Arabidopsis thaliana: one gene and its partner. The protein of the gene in region 2 binds, or shares a complex with, the protein of the main gene of each other region. Each region holds a gene or a part of one and is shown on either strand. Other genes may lie near its edges.

Region 1 (7,043 bases), on a different chromosome or scaffold from region 2:
TCCATTTTGTAGTATTTTGAAAAAAATATTTTAACGAATGGAAGCAATAACTCGACAAAAAGAGTCAAACTAAAGTACCTTCACATGCAAAACAAAACGTAAATTTGGTATTTTTTTCCCATTAAAAAAAATATATATATATTCTTGGCCTTGTGTGCGAAGACGATCGAGAACGAGAAGAACGATAAGCTCAATACGCACGAACGTAGATCGAAGACTGGAAAGGTATATCTTCATCAAAATATTCATGATTATGGTTGAGTTTAATTTTGTTTACGTATTTGTTTTAATTTTTCAAAAGTCCACTGTTGGCTGGCTGTTGCTATCTTGGAATGATTTTCATATCTCAATAACTATTGTTTACTCTAAGTTAAATTATTGGGGTGCTATTTATGATGACTGATGAAGTGATGGGAACATGATTGCAATATTAAAATCTCTTTTTTATTTATATTAATTATAAGTTTGTACCCACTTCATTTTAAATAGATAATGCCAAGACGTAGGTATATTATTACTGAATTTATTTTTTAATAATAAGTAAATATGCAGGTTTCAACTAGAAAGGTAACACATCAACAAGAAATACCAAAAACCACTAGCTTACATATTTTGATCATATAAGTATTGAATAATATAGTTATAGATGATCAAATAGTTATTATTAATTACTTAGCTAGTGTAATTTCTATCGATTGTTTCACATTCGCAACAGATAATTATATAAATAAATACATACTACATGTTAACCTTTGTTTTTGTTAAATAGGATGTTTTCTTGATTGATGATCTAGATCAACTTTTAATAATTTATACGTACCAGCTTTCATTCGATCGTGCGACTTCTTGGAATATCCCATGGTACATTTGCAGTCGAGCTAGAAAGCTTTTTTGATAATTTATGAATCATATTAAGCGTCTCTCAATTAGATTAATATTTAGTACCAGTGTAAATGATACAATTATAAATCTTTTTACCAACGAATACAGAATTTGTTTTAGAAATATTCTTCGCAAAATTTTATAATATTTCATAAATCAGTTATAAAAAAAAAAAAAGCAGTTTTGAATTCAGAGGAATTCGTAAATTTCCCTAAGAGTTATTAAAACTAGTTGTGATATTTTGGAGTATTCTTTATGGCTAGATCCATATGATCCGGTTCTTGTATCTAGATTTTTTTTACGGAATATTGTATGATATATCTAGTCTCCTCTTTGGTTCTAAACTTCTAATTAATCTTCGGTGATTTGAATTAAACGTTACTGTTTTTAAATTATGATTAAGGCTTTAAAACATGTTCATACAATAATTACCAAATCTTAACCAATTAGACTCTTAATAAGGAGAACGTATATATATGTTGCAACTTGCAACTTTAGCCCTTTACAAATAATTAATCGTACATAATCTAATTGATAAACGATTCTTTAAATTTTAAAACAATGAATTAGCTTGCTGCCATCGTTTAATGGGCCAACGCCAATATAAAGACGATTAGTTGAGAAGTTGTGCAAGTAGAAGTATATGAATATTTTCATTATCTAAAAAAAAAAATGTATATGAACATGCGTTTTTCCCAGTAATGCTTTTTATATAAATATGCCTCGTGGATCACGAAAGAATAAATTATTATTTCCCTTATTATTTCATCTAGTACGATCAATATCAAGAAGTCAATATAAATAAACATACAATTCACTTTAATTGATCATAGCACCGATAACAATCTACTCTCTTTAAAAGGTCTTATCTCTATTCTTCTCTATTATGTAAAAATTGGTTAATAGTAGATATTAACAATTTATTTTTGCAACTACAGAAATTCGTAAGTACTATCAAGAAGCAGAAGATGGCCCAAAAGGTGGAAGCACAAGGAGGGAAAGGAGCCAACCTATGGGACGATGGATCGACACATGACGCCGTGACCAAGATTCAGCTCGCAGCAGGCATAGACGGAATTCAATATGTTCAGTTTGATTATGTCAAGAACGGACAACCCGAACAAGCTCCTCTTCGTGGTACCAAAGGCCGTGTTCTCCCAGCTGATCCGGTTCCTATATTTTCCTTGCCCATTAATCTTCTTCTTTCTATATGTATACTGTTATATTTTGAAGTTTTGACATTTTCATCTTGATCTATTTCTACAGTTTGTGATTAACCATCCAGACGAACATCTAGTTTCTGTAGAAGGTTGGTATAGCCCTGAAGGTATCATTCAAGGAATTAAGTTCATCTCCAACAAGAAGACTTCTGATGTCATTGGATCCGATGAGGGTACTCACTTCACTCTACAAGTTAAAGACAAGAAGATCATTGGCTTTCATGGGTCTGCCGGGGGCAATCTTAATTCTCTTGGGGCTTACTTTGCTCCGTTGACTACTACAACTCCGTTGACTCCTGCCAAGCAGCTAACGGCATTTGGTAGTGATGACGGAACTGTATGGGATGATGGTGCTTACGTTGGGGTTAAGAAGGTGTACGTTGGACAAGCCCAAGATGGAATCTCAGCTGTTAAGTTTGTGTACGACAAAAGCCCTGAGGAGGTCACAGGAGAAGAACATGGAAAGAGTACTCTACTCGGATTCGAAGAGGTATAATACTTTCTTTGCTCTTTTTGTTGAATGTAAAAATTATACATCAGAGAATTCAAATTCTCTTCCGGTTTCCATCATAATGTATTCAATTGTTTTATTTGGTTTCCAATAACTGCAGTTCGTACTTGACTATCCAAGTGAATACATCACCGCAGTCGATGGCACTTATGATAAAATCTTTGGGAGTGATGGCTCAGTCATAACTATGCTCAGGTTCAAGACTAATAAGCAAACGTCTCCTCCCTTTGGACTTGAAGCTGGCACAGTCTTCGAACTCAAAGAGGAAGGCCACAAGATCGTTGGTTTCCATGGAAGAGCCGATGTTCTGCTCCACAAAATTGGAGTCCATGTTCGTCCTTTATCCAACTGATGATGGAGCTCTTTATCCTTGATTCCATGCATCTAATAAGTTATCAAATCTATCTTCTAAATTTCTCATATGAGGTCTCTTCATGCCTCTGGTGAATGGTGATCTTTGATAAGTGTTTTACGCGTTGTCTCTTGCGATGTTGTTTTTTCTTTGTTCTTCTTGTGCTCTATTTTAATAAAGGAAGTTTGTTCCAATCTGATCTTTAGTTTCCCTATATGTTCTATAATACTTACTTTTGCCATTATTTGGTTCTGATACTAATTTTACTTGCTATAATTCAAACTAAAATCTCAACGTATGAATTGTACAATTTAAAATGCAAATGTTAACTTTTTTGGATCAAATATATAGTTGTTCGTATTTTCTCAGTAAAAAAATCCTGCACAAAGTTTTTATCTAGAATGTGTGACCATATTGAAGTTTTTGGCCTTCTCCAAACATAAAAAGTTATTAGTTAAAAGTATATGAGTTGGCCAAAAAATACGAACCGGTTCTTGTTTCTAGATTGAGCGTTACAGAAAATTGTATTATATATATACTCTTGGTTCTAATTTCTCTTAGGTGATTTCAATTATACTTTTACTGTTTGAAATAATGTACAATGCTGTGGAAACATGTTCTTACAAGACTTATCAAATCGTCAACCAATTAGAGTCCTAAAAAGGGGGTCACTAATTGTAGAATTCTGACTTATATAAATTGCAACTTGCACCCTTTACAAGTAATAACGTATATAATAAAATTGACGACTCTGTGAATTTTAAAAGAACTAATTAGCTTGCTGCCATCGTTTCATTGGCCAACACCAATATAAAGACGATTAGTTGAGAAGCTGTGGAAGTAAAAAAGGAGTATATGAATATTTGAACATGTATTTCTTCCGGTAATGTTTTAAATATGCCTCGTGGATCACGAAATAATAGATTATTATTTCTGCTAGTACGATCAATGATCCTATATGCGGATATATGGTTATATGCAAGAAGTCAATATAAACACCTATGATTCACTTAAATCGATCACAATCTACTCACTTTTGAAGGTCATCTCTCTTTTCCTCTCTATTAGTACAAAATTGGTTAATAATTGAAAATTCACAATTTGTTTTTTTTTCCAATTATAGTAACTATAGTAAGATTGATCAGCAAGCAAAATATGGCTCAAAAGGTTGAAGCAAAAGGAGGGAAAGGAGGCAACCAATGGGACGATGGATCCGATCATGACGCCGTGACCAAGATTCAGGTTGCAGTAGGCGGAATGGGAATTCAATACATTCAGTTCGATTACGTCAAGAACGGACAAACCGAACAAACTCCTCTTCGTGGTATCAAAGGCAGTACCATTCCAACTGATCCGGTTCCTATACATTTTCCTTGCTTATTTGACTTCTTCTAATTTTTATAGAAAATCTATTGTTTTACGTTGAAGTATTGACATATTGAACTTGATCTCTACAGTTTGTGATTAACCATCCTGAGGAGCATCTAGTTTCTATTGAAATTTGGTATAAACCTGATGGTCTTATTCAAGGGCTTAGGTTCATATCCAACAAAAAGACTTCTCGTTTCATTGGATACGATCGTGGTACTAGATCATTTCTCCAAGTTCAAGACAAGAAGATCATTGGCTTTCATGGGTCTGCCGGAGACAATCTTAATTCTCTTGGAGCTTACTTTGCTCCGTTGACTATCCCATTGACTCCTGCCAAGCCGCTACCGGCACTTGGTAGTGATGATGGAACAGCATGGGATGATGGTGCTTACGTTGGGGTTAAGAAGGTGTACGTAGGACAAGCCCAAGATGGTATATCGGCTGTTAAGTTTGTATACGACAAAAGCCCTGAGGAGGTCACAGGAGAAGAACATGGAAAGAGTACTCTACTCGGATTCGAAGAGGTATAATGTTTTCTTTCTCTTTTTTTTTTTGTTGTTGATGAATGTTATATACATATAGCTATATATATGCTTTGATCAGAGAATTCAAATTTTCTTTCGATTTCCATGATGACGTATTCAAGGTTCCAATAACTGCAGTTCGTACTTGACTATCCAAGTGAATACATCATCGCAGTCGAAGGCACCTACGATAAAATCTTTGGGAGTGATGGCTCAGTCATAACTATGCTTAGGTTCAAGACTAATAAGCAAACGTCCCCTCCCTTTGGACTTGAAGCTGGCACTGCCTTCGAACTCAAAGAGGAAGGCCACAAAATCGTTGGCTTCCATGGAAGAGCCGATGCTTTGCTCCACAAAATTGGAGTTCATGTCCGTCCCGTTTCCAACTGACCATGAAGATCTTTATCTTTGATTCCATGGAGATCTTTATCTTTATCTTATAAATTGGTCATTTGAGGTCTCTTCATGCCTCTGGTGACCTCTGATAAGTGTTTTAACTTTTAAGTGTTGTATCTTGTGTTGCCGGTTTTTCTTTGATGTGGTTGTGTTCCATTTTAATTAAGGAAGTTTGTTTCATCTCTTCTAATTTTTATATCCCCAAATGTTCCGATATATATTTCCCATTTGCGTCTGATACTAATTCTCTTACTATAATTAAACAAAAATCTCAATGTACGAATTGTACAATTTAAAACAAAAGTAAATTTTTTTGGATCCAAAATATAGGTGTTTTCTTTTCTCCAAAACAAAAATACCTGCGTAATTTTTTTTATCTAGATTGTGGCCAAAATATAGAAGTTTTCGGCTAAAAAATATTATTAGTTGCAAATAATATGAGTTGGCCAAAAATAAAGAAAATAATAAAAGTATGTAGCCTTCTTGGGTAAAATAATTTAATACTCAACGTGGATCACGAATTATGGATTACTATTATTTAGAATTGTGTTAATTAATTAAATAATGAGGCCTATATGTGGATCTATTCTTGAATATTAATTAGATTCTTTTTTGGTAAAATATCTTTGCTAATTCCAAGAGGTCAATAAATTAACGTACAGCCCACTCGGATGGATCACCACTTATCCTCATCCTTTATATCTCTTATGATACTATATTATAGTAAAATTTGGTTAATAGTTGCAATTAACAATTTGTTTTTTGCAGTTTTAGTAACTCCTAAGAAAAAATGTTTCGTAGTCTAGTGGTTGTTTTATAGATTAGAGTCTTATTGGTGAACGGTTTAAACTTTAGATATTTTTTTTCACTTCACTTCTTACCCCAAAAAAAACTCCAAAGATTGGTAAAAATCAAACAATGATGGCTCAAAAGGTGAACTTGGTAGTGATAAAAGAACTGCATGGGACGATGGTGGCATGGTGCTTACAACAGTGTTAAGGTGTATATATGTCAAGGCCACGATTGTCGATTGTGTGTCCACGGTTAGTTTGAGTATGCCAATGCTTCTCAAGTTGTTGCTGGAGATGAACACGGAAAGAGGTACTTATATATCGCTGCGGCCTAAACGGGCCAAACGCATTTTGAACCCATTTATTTTATAACTTGGTTGGTCGAGATACGGACTTTTTTTTTAATAAGTGACCCGTTTAATCCCACAACTTCCCTAGGCATTGTGGTCTTTGACTATTGTGACTATACTAGTTATTTTATACCTTCTTAAAGTCAGACCGGTTTCCATCGGACAAGATTAAGTTGTTTTGCTTGATTTCATTGTAGTTCGACATTGATTATCCAAGTGAATACATCACCGCTGTCGATGGCACATGCGATTAAATCTTTGGAAGTGACTCTGCGGTCATTATCATATGCTTAGGTTCAAGACTATTATGCGAACATCTAATCCCTTTGGTCTTGAAGCTGGCAAGACTATTATGCCAAAGGGATTAAATCTGATGATGATGGGAGAATCATAATGATCCTTCAGTTCTGACCATAAAACTTTTCGCTCCTCCACGTAGTTTGAAGCATAGACAAAGGAACAGAAAAATTCATCCTGTCGATCTTCTAGCTTCACCGAACAAGTCAGCAATTGACCACTCTTATAAATAGGACTAAGTCGCACATTCTTACGCCATAGAACCCAAATACGACCCCGTCTATTGTGCTCATAATTAGTGAGAAGCGACCAATCCTTGAAAAGCTTACCAACAAGCTGCGAAACCTTA
Region 2 (7,751 bases):
AAAGAATTTGAAACTTTGAAGCATGGATAAAGGGTTTAAATAAGGTTTTAGGGATTTAGGAATTCATGTTTAAGATTCGGTTAGAAAGTATAGGATTCAGTTTTTACTTTTTAAGATTTGTAGTTTAGTTGAATATACATTGGTGCTCTTTTAATTATTTTTAACAAAAAGAAGAAGTTATTTTTAACAAGATAAAGACTATTAAAAAAATCTCTTGAAAATAAATGATGTTTTGGTTCAACAAAACTTGAATACATTAATTATTAAGGGTTAACAAAAAAAATTATTAAGGGTAATTTAAAAACTGTGAGAGAAAAAACATTAATCATTGCTCAAGTCTTTCTTCTTCTTTTTTTGGTCGCTCAATGCTCAAGTGTGTTCTGCTTTCTAGAGCAGCAACTTTTTGACAAAAGGAAAAAGAAAAACATCTTTCTCAACCTTATTAAAAATAGAACAAACGTGTCTAGGTAGAAGAACTGTAGAAACTAACTAGTTAGTTTCAATTGATATAAGACATAGCAAAAACGTGAGAGATTGAATATTCACGGCGTTGTGGTTTTCTTTTGCTAACAATGATTTTACATGACATTTTTGCGAAACGTTTTATTTTCTTAAAAAATTGTGTTACATAATTGTTTTTTTGTTTGTTCTATAATTACGTAACAGCTCTTAACGTTTACAATAAATATATATTTTCTAACGTTTATATTTTTATTAGATATTTTTTCCCCAAACTTTTTTCTTTATTTTAAACTGAGTTCGTTTAATCTTTAATTATAGAACATTCTTTTTTTTTTGTCATCAATTATAGAACATGTTAAAAGCTCTTTTATTTCCAAATATTTTACAATATAAATATATTAGAGGACCGAGGAACTTATTGTACCTCATCATTCTTCCTTCTGGTTAACTGAAAATGGAGTGTAGTTCAGTGAGTGTACTAGGAATATTACTGGTATTTCCTCTCCTTCATAACCTTGTCACCATCTCCGGGCAGAATCTTCCGGCGGTGGGTTTGTTCACTTTCGGAGATTCCAACTTCGACGCTGGAAATAAAAAGTTCCTCACAAGTGCTCCACTTCCTCAAAACTTTTGGCCTTACGGTAAATCTCGAGATGACCCTAAGGGCAAGTTTTCTGATGGCAAAATTGTCCCGGACTTTATTGGTAAGTTTGTAAATTTATCTCTATTTTACACTTTTAATTTTTTCAAAAGGAATCAGATTGTTTTATTATATCTTTCTAATCCCAAGTAAACATATAGAGGACAACATATGGTTTGTGGATTGATGCTTATTTGTTATCCTTCATGTTAAAATTCTGTCCCAATACAGTTGTTAAATATTTTACTTAAATCAATAAATGATTTTATAATGAGTTCGATTAAAAATAAGCAATTGCAACGGGTACTTCAATATTGCAAACTCTTTTATAATGTGTGAAAAGTTGGTAAAAACGTAACGGGCTAGTAATTGTTTTTTCAAAGGTCTCAATCTGAATCAGCCTGATTTCTTTAATATTTTAACAACGTATACAAGATGAACACGCTCTTTATAGGTATAATGCTATAATGCATATCATTTAACCATTAAGAAAACTAGCTACTCGTTTTTATAGGTACTCTATACTAAATGGAAATTTTGATTGGTAATTAAAGATATATGAAATTGATGAGGGGTGAATAAATCACAGCAAAATTCATGGGGATACCACACGATTTACCGCCGGCGCTAAAACCCGGCACCGATGTGTCACGAGGAGCCAGCTTCGCCGTCGGGTCCGCTTCCATTCTTGGATCTCCAAAAGATTCTGTAAGCTCACTTAAAATATTTGTTAATCAATCGTAAAGCAATGTCATAATAAAGATTCACATTTTTTTGGTAGTTGGCTCTGAATCAACAAGTGAGGAAATTCAATCAGATGATATCAAATTGGAAAGTGGATTACATTCAGAAATCAGTGTTTATGATTAGCATTGGTATGGAAGATTACTACAACTTTACCAAAAACAATCCTAATGCTGAAGTTTCTGCTCAACAAGCTTTCGTTACTTCTGTCACTAACCGGTTTAAGAGTGATATCAACGTAAGTATTTTCATCCAAAACTAATCAAAAATTAATACGAGTTAGTGATATAGATATGTTGTTATAATGATTAATTGCAGTTGTTGTATTCATCTGGAGCTAGTAAATTCGTCGTACACTTGCTAGCGCCATTAGGTTGTTTACCGATCGCAAGACAAGAATTTAAAACCGGTAACAATTGTTACGAGAAACTCAATGATTTGGCCAAACAACACAACGCTAAAATTGGACCGATTTTGAACGAAATGGCGGAAACTAAACCGGATTTCCAATTCACCGTTTTCGATTTCTACAACGTTATTCTTCGCAGGACACAAAGAAACATGAACTACCGTGAGTTACAATTCGCCATTCAAAGTTCCACACTATCATTAATATCGTTATATGCTTTTACTTTGAAGCAAACATTTAATAATACTTGTTGTTATGACTAATTAGGGTTTTCCGTGACGAATATATCGTGTTGCGGTGTTGGGACGCATTATGCATATGGTTGTGGTTTACCTAACGTGCACTCGAAGTTATGCGAATATCAAAGATCCTACCTTTACTTCGACGCACGTCATAACACAGAGAAAGCACAAGAAGCGTTTGCTCATCTTATCTTTGGAGCTGACCCAAATGTTATCCAACCTATGAATGTTCGTGAGCTCATGGTGTATCCTGTTAATGAGCCTATGCGTGAGTTTTGGGAGGATCCAATGGATGAGAAGTTATCGTTAGTCCAATACTAGTGGATCTGTCTACCTCGTTTAGTTCTTGAGCTCACTATTTTCTATCTCTAGATCACGTACGAGCTCTTGGAATTTGTAATGTATTGTTCTTAATTAGTTGCGAAGTAAAATAATTAATACTGTTTAAATCCTCAACTCTGCTTATTTTCATAAGAAAAAAATAATCAATTAATGGGTAATTTGATAGACCTGAGAATATAACCAAAGCATATATATGACCTGCTTTGTGCTCATATTAGACAAGTTTCGGGCCATACGCACTCATTAGAACGAAATGATTGAATTTGGTGGAATCATTTAAGACTTATGGATTTCAAATTACATAACTCACTTGAGTCATTTTATTTACTTTTTTTTTTGTTTTTTTTTGCAATTCTTGTTGTAATGAAATAGTGGAAATGGTTTCAATTTTTAACTGTTCCAAAATTATTTTATAATAAGTGTTGTTTTAGGTTTTAATATAAAATTTTGGTTAAAGTTCCAAATTTTATTTATACTGTTTTAATGTGTTAACTAGAATGAATTAATCATAGTAAAACAATTTTTTTTTAGTTTGTAGTATTTAAAAAAAACGAACACTTGATCTGAAATGCATGGAGTATTTTCTTAGTTACGTTTTCATAGGTGAGAGGTTCCATTTGACATGTTTTTTTATATATTTTATTGAAATATAGGAATATGCATTTAAATCTTCTTCTGCCCTCAATGCATGATCGATCTTCTTGATACTAGTAACAATAAATGTATCTTGAAAATTAAGAATAAATAAAATAGAAATGGGATACCAGTTGTGCATTAACTAGGTGTGTAGAAAAAAGAAAAAAATGAACCTCGAGCAACACGTTATCATATATTCATATTTAAATAACAATATTTTTCAATTGCTAAATTGCTTTTTTCTTAAAAACAATCTTTTTGATAAAAAAAATTCAGTTGCCAAATTGTGTAGTATTTACAATATAAATATAACGTATCGGTCTACGAGCTAAGACACAAAAGCAATCTTCTACTCATTTACTGTTCTGTTTCACTTTCTCTCTCTCTGTATACTCTCTAAATGATGGCAAAAAACTGTAATTTAGTCAGTGTTCTATGTGTATTTTTGGTATTGACCCTCTTTAACAAACCCATCACCGTCGCCGGGCAGAATATTCCGGCGGTGGGCTTGTTCACCTTTGGTGACTCCAACTTCGACGCCGGAAACAAACAGACTCTCACCAAAACCTTACTCCCTCAAACTTTCTGGCCGTATGGAAAATCCCGAGATGATCCCAACGGCAAATTCTCCGACGGCCTCATCGCTCCAGACTTCCTCGGTGCGACATTTTTTTGTTTGTATAACTGAAAGATCTTAATCCGAATTCTACAAAACATAAAACATGCAAAATGATATTTTTTATCATTTAAAACGTTAGTACAAATGACGAGTGTTGGATATTAGTTAATTACTAAAAATAACGGTTAAAATATTTTAAAAATAAAAAAGGTTCAGCTGGTATTCACTTTTCGAAACACATGGATTTTTTTTTGATTTTTTTTCGTTAACAGATTCGGAGATTATATTTGTATTATATGAAAACCTAATATATTTAATGTACAAAATGCAGCTAAATTCATGAGGATTCCGATCGTGATCCCGCCGGCCCTTCAACCGAACGTCAATGTCTCACGTGGAGCTAGTTTCGCCGTCGCTGATGCTACTCTACTCGGAGCTCCGGTGGAATCTGTAAGTCAACTTAATTTCTTACTATAATCATCTTATTCAAAATAAATGAACCATGTCTGTCTTTTATTGACCCGGTCATACATAGCCGGTCCTTAATTTACCTTCAGGTGGCCTTAGCACAATTGGAAGATGGCCTTCTTAATGATATAAAATATATTAAAGGTTTTACCAAATTACTGTTTTTATTTTTTTTGGCGAATGATTTAGTATATATCTTCTGGTCTAAAGCATGTGCTTGACCTGTCTTATGGACTAGCCTGGATCATACTAAACGGCATATTTTTGTTTTATTAAAGACATCTGACTTTAACTGCAATTATAATTTTGTCTTTTTGTCTTTTTTTGTTTTTTTAGTTGACTCTGAATCAACAAGTGAGAAAGTTCAATCAAATGAAAGCAGCAAATTGGAATGATGATTTCGTGAAGAAGTCAGTGTTTATGATATACATTGGTGCAAACGATTACTTGAATTTCACCAAGAACAACCCTAACGCCGATGCATCTACTCAACAAGCTTTTGTCACTTCCGTGACCAACAAGTTAAAGAACGATATCAGCTTGTTGTATTCATCAGGAGCGAGTAAATTTGTGATCCAAACCCTAGCTCCATTGGGTTGCTTACCCATCGTCAGACAAGAGTTCAACACCGGGATGGATCAATGCTATGAGAAACTCAACGATTTGGCTAAACAACACAACGAAAAAATTGGACCGATGTTGAACGAATTGGCTAGAACAGCTCCTGCATCAGCTCCTTTCCAATTCACCGTCTTTGATTTCTACAACGCGATTCTTACTAGGACGCAGAGGAACCAAAACTTCCGTGAGTTGGTTAATTATCATGGTTTAATTTCATTTTTAAATTTTTTTATAACTTCTAATACCATGTGTTTAATATTTGCCATTCTTAGGATTTTTCGTTACGAACGCATCGTGCTGCGGAGTTGGGACACATGATGCTTATGGTTGCGGTTTTCCTAACGTACATTCGAGGCTATGCGAGTACCAACGGTCTTACCTATTCTTCGACGGACGTCACAACACTGAGAAGGCGCAAGAGATGTTTGGTCATCTTCTTTTTGGAGCCGATACAAATGTTATCCAACCGATGAACATCCGTGAGCTTGTCGTTTACCCTGCCGATGAACCTATGCGTGAGTCTTGGGTGCCCCCAACGTCAGCCACCGTTCAACTCAGGGAGAGCCGCGGTTACGAGTATTACTGAGTCTCTAAAATCAATATTTAGGGATCGATCGGGGTTTCTATAAGGGTTATGAGTCAAATTATAACTGGATCAATATCGGAATCTTGAGTAGTTTTAATTTCCAATGTTTTCATGTTTCTCTAGTGAGTTTTCCTCCATAATAAAAGATTGATCTCTGCAACTCTTACCCCTTGCAAATCTTTTATTTAAAAGAAACAAAACTTTTACATAAATTTATTTCTTTTTTTTGTCAACCACATATTAAAAGGTAATTCCATAATTAAAAAAAGAAGGCACAAGAAGCGTTTTCTCATCATCTTATCTTTTGGAGCGGACCCAAATGTTATCCAACCTATGAATGTTCGTGAGCTCATTGTGTATCCTGTTAATGAGCCTATGCGTGAGTTTTGGGAGGATCCAATGGATGAGAATATCATCGTTAGTCCATGACGTCGACGTCGATGCTAGTGAATCTATCTAACTCGTTTAGTTCTTGAGCTCACTATTTTCCATCTCTATACCATGAACGAGCTCTTGGAATTTGAAATGCGCTGTTATTAATTTGTTGAGATTTAAAATAATAATGTAACCTCAACTCTGTTTTTTCCATAAGAAAAATCTCAATGAGTAACGTGATAAACCTGACAATATGAACCAAAGCGTGTCCAATGACCTGCTTTGTGCTCAGATTAGACAAGTTTCGGGCCACATGCACTCCATTAGAACAAAATGATAAATTTTGGTGGAATCAATTTAAGAAGGTAGTGGATTCAATTTGAGACCTTTTTTACCCTCTTTTTTTGTTTGCAATTATTCTTGCAAGGTAATATTCGAAATGATTGGCAACAAAGAAAATAAAAAGTAGAAATTATAAAGTTCCAGAAAAGATAAGTTTATACATCTGGCTTTGGGGCCGGCTATATTTACAGTTAATTTTCATATGAAATAAAACCAAAAATCATATATATAGATAATAGATGAACCAAACAAATGAGGCGTTCTTCATATAAAACTTCATCTTCACGTAAGCAAATGTGTTTTATTTTTATCTAGTTTCTGCACTCTTTTAGAAACAAAATTGTTCACCTTTCTGTCGTTCTAATGATTCCAATCAAATTGATAATTACTAGAACTTACAAACGAATAAGGACCAACTCTTCTGTATTTGATATAGACACTCTCTCAAAACTTAATCTTCTCTAATCTTCACTGTAAATCTTAAGGAACAACTCTCCACAAGTTTTTATAATTTATATATACATAACTAAGCTATTACCTATACTATTAAGATTGTGTCAACGCAAAATTGAGTTATTCTTTCTTATTTAAATTTGAACTATTAAAAATATGTAAATAATTAACGAAAATCTTTGTCAAAACACTATTAAGAAAATAATTTCAAAAATTAACATGATGATAAAATATAGATTGTTAATTGTTTTTTTTAATTGTTTTCAAGTAATTTAATCAATAATATGATGAGGATGATTAAGGAAATTACTATAATTTATCTTTTAAAGAATATCTTAGCATAGGTATGAGTTGTTTTTGCAAAATTTTAATAATTGATTTAAGTTATCTAAACGTTATTAAAATTATTATCCAAATTATCTATAATTATCCGAACATATTCGTCTCTTGTCTATTCTGGTAGTGATATTTTATGTATCTATATTATTCATATATCGTATCAGTATAATCTGACTTATTTAAAAATATCTATTTGATATGTATTTTGATATTAAAAATATTTTAATTCGAGTTGTGTACTCGTAAATTATCCAAAAGTTTTAGCAGAAATAAACATATCTACGTATATGTTGGTGTTGAAATTTTTTTGTTGAATTTGGCTAGTCAGCAAAATTTAGTTTTATGCAAATGGTTACTGCAGAAATTACTGAATCTGGTTTAGTGTTACCATTTACACCCTATATTTCCGTGAAATTTGTATGTTTAATTCTACTTCTTGCCTCTAAATGCACGATCTTTTCAGCACTTCGAAG

Evidence for each region.
Region 1: AT1G54010 (region 2) and JAL31 share a complex: the UniProt entries of both Arabidopsis thaliana proteins name them as parts of the PYK10 complex.

The regions. Positions count from the first base shown.
Region 1 is NC_003074.8:5,577,710-5,584,752, forward strand, and holds JAL31 (jacalin-related lectin 31), read left to right. Parts: upstream 1-3,858; 5' UTR 3,859-4,007; exon of another isoform or gene 4,008-4,088; 5' UTR 4,089-4,120; coding exon 4,121-4,321; intron 4,322-4,422; coding exon 4,423-4,860; intron 4,861-4,998; coding exon 4,999-5,250; 3' UTR 5,251-5,478; downstream 5,479-7,043. Other genes in the region: PBP1 (PYK10-binding protein 1), read left to right, coding at 1,851-2,051, 2,149-2,592, 2,714-2,965; AT3G16432 (uncharacterized protein), read left to right, coding at 6,234-6,419. UniProt on the Arabidopsis thaliana protein: Polymerizer-type lectin that may facilitate the correct polymerization of BGLU23/PYK10 upon tissue damage. Activates BGLU21, BGLU22 and BGLU23.
Region 2 is NC_003070.9:20,156,872-20,164,622, reverse strand, and holds AT1G54010 (GDSL-like Lipase/Acylhydrolase superfamily protein), read left to right. Parts: upstream 1-3,758; 5' UTR 3,759-3,875; coding exon 3,876-4,134; intron 4,135-4,425; coding exon 4,426-4,544; intron 4,545-4,898; coding exon 4,899-5,367; intron 5,368-5,455; coding exon 5,456-5,769; 3' UTR 5,770-6,034; downstream 6,035-7,751. Other genes in the region: AT1G54020 (GDSL-like Lipase/Acylhydrolase superfamily protein), read left to right, coding at 917-1,166, 1,692-1,810, 1,884-2,084, 2,165-2,417, 2,523-2,818. UniProt on the Arabidopsis thaliana protein: Involved in the control of the PYK10 complex size and possibly substrate specificity. May be exported from the endoplasmic reticulum upon interaction with MVP1.